2 linked regions of the Oryzias latipes genome follow. The protein of the gene in region 1 purifies or fractionates together with the protein of each later gene. This does not show direct contact. Links are inferred from orthologs where the notes say so. Each region holds a gene or a part of one and is shown in the gene's direction. Other genes may lie near its edges.

Evidence for each region. The genes of interacting proteins can lie anywhere in the genome.
Region 2: the proteins of smc3 (region 1) and cdca5 purify together in Homo sapiens (affinity purification with mass spectrometry; 7 studies listed by BioGRID and IntAct, counting the BioPlex papers as one, with this or other methods). This does not show direct contact. The link is inferred for Oryzias latipes from reciprocal best matches to the Homo sapiens genes SMC3 and CDCA5.

Annotation. Positions count from the first base shown.
Region 1 is NC_019859.2:36,690,876-36,694,525, forward strand, and holds part of smc3 (structural maintenance of chromosomes protein 3), read left to right. Parts: intron 1-539; coding exon 540-681; intron 682-1,359; coding exon 1,360-1,510; intron 1,511-1,941; coding exon 1,942-2,094; intron 2,095-3,650. UniProt on the Homo sapiens protein: Central component of cohesin, a complex required for chromosome cohesion during the cell cycle. The cohesin complex may form a large proteinaceous ring within which sister chromatids can be trapped.
Region 2 is NC_019869.2:20,009,699-20,013,061, forward strand, and holds cdca5 (sororin), read left to right. Parts: upstream 1-1,179; 5' UTR 1,180-1,298; coding exon 1,299-2,087; 3' UTR 2,088-2,759; downstream 2,760-3,363. Other genes in the region: psmb2 (proteasome subunit beta type-2), read right to left, coding at 302-372, 459-581, 964-1,054. UniProt on the Homo sapiens protein: Regulator of sister chromatid cohesion in mitosis stabilizing cohesin complex association with chromatin. May antagonize the action of WAPL which stimulates cohesin dissociation from chromatin.

The DNA of each region.
Region 1 (3,650 bases):
TAGAACCATTTCCCCTTAAAGGAAAATTCTGTTGGATGTAGACCAAGTGGACCACAGAAGACTTTCTGATGTTACACTAATGTCACCATGGATTCTAGGTGTTTAAGGCTGTAAAACTCCTCACTACACACTTTCTACACTTTTCTCAGACAGACCTGAGCATTTTCCCGCTTTTCTCTCAAAGTTCAAACCTTCATAGGAAAATAAGCCCAGTATTATAGAATGGAAACAAAGATCTGATTGCGATGAGGGTTTATGTAGATTTGGCAAACTGAACCCATTCTGTACAGGAGATATGGCACAGACGAGGTCAGCAGCCAATCAGGATGCAGAACATACCAGGTGCTGTAAAATAAAAAGGTGAAGCGCGATATACTGAGGGAAGACTATATGTGGTAAACTGTAAGGGTTATGACCTTTTTATCTACTACTGTACAGCTGGATTAGATAGACGGTCATTTTTATTTTTGTTGTTGTTTCAGATATCTCTTTACATATAGTGACAACTATAAATAAAAAAGAGATCTCATGCATTTCAGGTTGTTTTACCACATCGTAGAAACAGATGAAGTCAGCACCAAAATACTGATGGAGTTCAACAAAATGAACTTGCCTGGAGAAGTCACGTTCCTTCCACTGAGCAAGCTGGATGTCAGGGACACGGCCTACCCAGAAACCAATGTAAGAACCCTTCAGCAAAGCTTCATTTGGACTTTACCTGGAAGTGGGGATAACTGACTGCTGTGTTGGAACTAGGGTTGTTAGGATCAATCAGTGAATCGATTTATCCAACCAGATCGATCTGTATGAGGCAAGTTGTTAATCAAATCTAATCTGGAAAATACCATCTGGATTGAGGGACGGTAGATTTTTTTACTAAAAGCTATGTGCCTCACAGCCATCAGCACACGTGTGATGTCAGCAAAAACTGACCATCATTCCAGTCCAATGTGTAGACAGACTGTGAATAAAGTCATGTGACCATCCAGTGTCTAGAATGTTCTAAGAATGTTCCCTTTGGATTCTTTGGATGTGGAAAAACAACAGTGGTGAACTTTAGGAAACTAACATGTGAATGGATTTGACATTCATTCTAGTTTACTTGTTGGTTTGGACACAGATTTCATTTAACTTGATGATCTGGAAGAAATCCAAGAATGACAGCATGAAGCCAAATCGACTGTGAAATGTATCATCACCTCAAATTACTACGATATGAACCGAGTCGTCGTTGAAATGAATGGTTGCACCTCTAGTTGGATGCTATAATAATGTTGTGTAGGACTTGGTCGATTCATTGCTTACCTTTAGACCTTAAGGTATAAATGTGTTTTAATCTGAACATTTCTGTTCCTAAAGGATGCCATCCCCATGATCAGCAAGCTGCGCTACAGCCCCAACTTTGACAAGGCCTTCAAGCATGTGTTTGGAAAGACCCTAATTTGTCGCAGCATGGAAGTTTCCACCCAGCTAGCCCGAGCTTTCACCATGGACTGTATCACTCTGGAGGGTGAGCTTTCCGTGCACTTTATTCTTCTCACACATTAATGGATGCTAAAGGCTTCAGTTTTGTCTTGAGATAGAGACCGTTTTTTCAACCGTTTTGCCAATCGTGATTCTGCACGGTCGTGCTTTTGCTTCATTCTTTTTCTTCCTTCCAACCGCTGATCTTTATAACTCTTGTCTTTTTTAACCTCTGCTCTTTGGTGGGCTTCACAGTCCCTCGGTTTTCAATTTGTATGTGAAAACCATCTTGATTCACCTACAAGGGATCTGAGACGTCCATGTTTTAGGCCAGACAGAAAAATACATGTATTTTCTGATTCAGAAGAGCTTTAAAAGCAGATAAACTCTGGTGTGAGGCGAGCAGTCATGTGAAAAAGTGATCTGAAGATGGTTTTATGGCGCTTCTGCTTCTTTACAAATGTGATTTGCCTCTAGGTGATCAGGTCAGCCACCGTGGCGCTCTGACTGGAGGCTACTACGATACGAGAAAGTCTCGCCTAGAGCTCCAGAAAGACATGAGGAAGGCTGAGGAGGAGCTGACTGAGCTGGAAGCCAAGCTGAATGAAAACCTGCGCAGGAACATCGAACATATCCTTTATGAAAGGGCAGTCCGAAGCCCGTTCACACCTAACGAGCATTCACCTGCACTGGTGTGACGTCCACTGCTCTGAGTTACAGTCAGTGTTTGTTTCAGGCAGACCGGCAAACATCTGTGTAGTCATTTTAAATGAAGTTCCTGCTAACTCACAAACCTCTTCTTTAACTTCTAATGGGCTCTGTGCATTCACTAATAATTCTTATAGATTTAGCAACGTTTTTCCTGAGCAGCAAATCATTTCTGTACAAAAGAACCAAAAATGTTCCCTTTTTTACAAATGAACATTTTTACTTGTCAAGAGGTAGAATTGTGCATAACTCTTAGCACTGACTATATGTAGAAAAGCATTACACCGAACATTTGTACTTACTGTAAACATCAATACTTGTACTTCAGTATAGAAGTACCTGGTACTTCAGTACTTACCAAACAAAGGTATAATGAAGAAAACAGTTGCACTCTGTGTTGCTAGGAGGCCTCCGTGATAGACCGCCGTTCTTTGGCTCGTGTTTCCAGCTCGGTTCTCCCGCTTTAACGCTGCGGCACAACTGGATGGTGACGCTGGAGATGCTGCTCATGTTGGACGTGTAGCAAAGCTGCAGACACCTCTTTCATTGTGTTTGACAGCAAACTCCACCCTGCAGATGTGTGTGCCGGGGGCACGTCTTCAGTGTGTGAATGTGTGTGTGCATGGGTGAATGGGACTGTGACTGTAAAGTGCTTTGGGCCTTCGAAAGAAGGTAGAAAGTGCTTTATAAGCATATGCCATTTACCATTTGCTTCAAACATTTGTCTCCACTCCATCAATATCTCCATTGTTCTCAGCATGAGCTAGCAGCTAGCACTAGTTCTGCTGCTCTGGTCCCTGGGGTGGGGCAATTAGTGATTTGGTAATTTCTTGAGGGGAGGGGGGCGTCTGTTTATGTGGCTGTTGGAGCTAAAAGAGCGATGGCAAACGACACACAGAGAAGTACACACTTAATGCACTGAGGAAAACTGCTGTGAAGGTCGTACTCTGCAGTTGGGTTTTATATTGTTGCATACAGACCACCAAACAGTCACATTTGCATATTTGGCTGTAAAATTTAGGCTGTTTTTAACAACAACAAAAAACTTGCTCTGTGTTTTAGGTTTTGGATGACAAGTCCTATTAGTAAAATATAAAGTCTTTAGCTCCAGGTTAGAGAAATGGAATTTGCAGAAAAGGAAAGTTGTCCCAGCGTTTGCGTTTGTGGCGTGTGGCGGTATCTTCCATGGAAGCTCATGAGTATAGAAGGCAGAGCGTCATCACTGGGGTGATTTCTCTCAGCGGAAGCTTTATTTTGAACAGGGATTACATCCACTGGAGTTATGTCGCTGCCTCCAAGCCAGCAGGAAGAAGGCTTAAGCAGGTCAAGAAGGATTAGTGTGTCCTGGGCCATATCTGCCAGAACCATGACTCATTTCAGGACAGCTCCTGAAGGAAAAAACAAGGGGATCAGAGAGGGTTTCATTTGGGTTTCTGCATGTGTGGTGGGGTTTTCTCTTTAACTGAGCGTCAGAGGAA
Region 2 (3,363 bases), on another chromosome or scaffold:
ATAATAAAACCCCTACATGTTTCTTTTTGTTAATTTTTACAATCATTTTTGGAATTACATGCTTTCAAATTGATTTTTTTTTTTTTTTAATTTTAGTAAGAACACATCTTTTTGTGAGTGTTAGAGATGCTATTGGGTAAGACATCCGTCCATGGGGCCCTAATACGTTTCCCTAACAAAGTTAATTCAAGCAACACCCCTGAAAACGAGTACAAAATTCAAAATGTTTCTCTAGTGTTCAGTTTCAGGAAATGTTTATCTTTAAATGCTAAAAGTGTATTTTGCTCTCATGCATGGTTACCCTGCTCCGTAGGTAGTCTGCCAAGTTCTTCCGTGTGAAGTTTGCTGCTGCAGATGGACTCAGTTCGTAACCTTTAGGGGAGAAAAAGTTTCATCAATGACTTGTTCTGATCCCCTGATGAACCACAGACAGCTGCTCTGTGTAGTTTCCATCCTACCGTTCCTCATTTTGTAGAGCTGGACATTCTTCTGGATGTACTCAGCAAACTGCACCGTGTCTCCTGCTTCTCCCACGCACAACAGCAGGATCTTCTCGCTCAGTTTGAACATTTTATCATAATCTGGTGGATCAAAAAAAAAAACACCTTAGAACTTTCACTTTCACAGTTAGCCTGCATGAGGCTGCATAATCTGCTAATTTTAGAACAAAACCAATTATACAGAAAAACACCAAAAACTCAAATCGGGAGCAAAACTGCACCGATTTTTAAGCAAATATCCGCAAAAATAATTTAAATCGAACGCAGATTAGTTTCATTGGTTCGATTATTTGATATAGTGTGGCCAAGTATAAGAAACCAACAACAAATTAACTGTAAATTCGGAAATAAAAGCTTGATTTAACCAGATAAAATCTCAAAACGCTTTGAACTTTACCCCCCTAAATCTAAAATAAAAATCGGCGGAGCGGCTAATGCTACAGCTAACGACGAGCTACTTTACCGTGTTTCATTTGGATTATGCTGCTGGCGGCCACATTATCGGCGGCGACGAGAACAAAATCTGGTCCCTGGATTCCGATTAAATATTCCATCGTGAAAAACGCGAATAAACAAAAAAATGTAAGAATAATTCGAGGAAGCAGCCGCGGACAGCCGGGTCTGCTCAGAATATTACACAGCAAAAGTTCAGCTAGCTGCCTGTCGCATACTGGTGACGTCAAACCGCGCGACTTGGGCGGGCGATTTGAAACGCGGGAGTGTTTTTGTTGTGTGTCACCGAGCGGAGGGCGTCCGTCATCGGGGGAATTTTGAGGTTACAGCCAAGCTGTGTTGACCATGAAGGAAGGGGAGACTCACAGCGTGATGGTGGAGTCCAACCGACACATAGACCCGCCGCGGAGGCGTTCGCCGCGGCTAAGTTCTACCCTGCAACCGCCGGGGAAGATTGACACAAACATGGCCGCGCTGGAGGCCGTCCCGGTGAAACGGTCCATCACTCTAAGGAAAATAGCTCCGAGAAAAACCGTTACCTCCGCGGAGCAGGACAAGGAGAACACACCACGGCGAACGAGCAACAGACTAGGGCAGAAAAAAGAGGTGTCCACTCCTGACTTGGTCCCAGACCGCAGGGCCTCCGCCATCTCTTCGGCTAAGAAGAAGAAACAGGCCTCGATGCCGTCCCCGATCTTGCCTTCCTCCCCGCCGACCTCAAACCCCGCAGAAAAGCCGCCAGCGACCCCGGAGGACGCAGAATGGGCGCGAAAGGTGCGCCGCTCCTACAGCAGACTGAGCGACAAGTCCCTCCACAGCCCGGACTCTCGCGATACTTTGTTCGGCTTCCAGCATCTGCAGACACCGGAGGTGAACCGGGCGGCAGGGCAGTCCAGGAGCGCTCTGGAGCTTTCCTCCATTTCTGCCCTGAACTCTTTCACGTCTCTGCTCGATACCGACGCCGGCGGTGCGGCCGAACCGGACCCGAACATCCCTGGAGTGGCTGTGGTGAAGGAGAGGAAGAGGAGGCGGAAGAAGGTGGCGCCGATCGACGGCGTGGAGCTGGACGTTCTGGTCGCCCAGATGAACGCGGAGTTCCAGGAGGCGGAGGAGTTTGAGCTGGTGGTGGAGTAGAAACTGGCTCTACTCAAGCCCAGGGGAAGCTTCTCAAGGACTGTGATAAAAATAATTCAAGAAAATGTTAAAAATGTCCAGATATTTTTATTCCTTCACTTGGTGTGAAATAGTTTTTAAATACATTTTCAGTATCACATTTGCTAGTCGTTTGTAACTTCAGTTTTTTTGGTTTATTTAAACCGGACTTTATCCTTTGGCAGAATTTAAGTGCTAAAACCGTTTACTGAGGAGCATTTCCCCAAGAATTACGTTTGGAGCTAAAAGGCTTTTATTCTGAAATGAAGCTTGAAAGCTTTTATGCAAAAGTCTGGAGATAAAAAGCTTTGAGTCGTAAAATTGGTGCTGAACAGCTCTTACTTTGAAGTTTGAAGATAAAAAGCTTTTATTCTGACGATTGGACTTTAGAAACATTTATCCTAAAGGTTTTGACTGGAGACGCTTTTATTCTGCAGTTTGGATTCTCTTTTTTTTTTAACTTTCCCAAATGTTTTTAGAGAAAAATAAAGTACATGGCATCTGTAACCAGCACTTTTTCCTCTTTAATTTTGTTTTTTCTTTCTAGTTTAAGAGAAATCCATTTAAGGTTGTTTATATCTTATATGTGTCTTTTAAATACATTTCTTCTGTTCTGTGTATTTGAATAAAAGCAAACATCTTTTTTTAAACATACACTTTATTTTGTTTACCCTTATTTGTACAGTTAAAGAGTTTTAAATTATATTAAACAACAATTTTTTAGAACTTTGCAGTGAAATATCAACTAGCTGCAGAAGGAGATGACACAGGAAATATGAACAAATAAACTATAACATAGCTAAAGAATTCAACTGAAAAGCCTTGAATGGCCTTTCATCAGATCCTGTCTCAAACTGTTTTTGTGAAGCTCTGAAATTGATCAGTACTGTAAATATCCTACTCTATGTTTAATTTAACCTTATGGCAATCAGAGCGAGCATGAAAACCCGTTTTCTAACTGTACATATGACAAAAAAAAAACTTTGAATCCTTTCAATTAAAAAAACTGAGGGTGAAAGGTCAAAAGCAACTGTAACCCTATAACCAATCAAAATCGTTTTTTTGCATAATATCCAACTAAATTATACAGTTTTGCTTATAGCAGCAAAAGTCTAGAATCAGGACTTTTATTTCAAGCGAAAAAATAAAACCAAATGCATCAAATGAATTTAGATGTACAGTCACAAAATGATCAGATGATAAAGAAATATGTAAATCTTACTAAGAGAAAATTAAGATAAACACGTAAATGCTCACA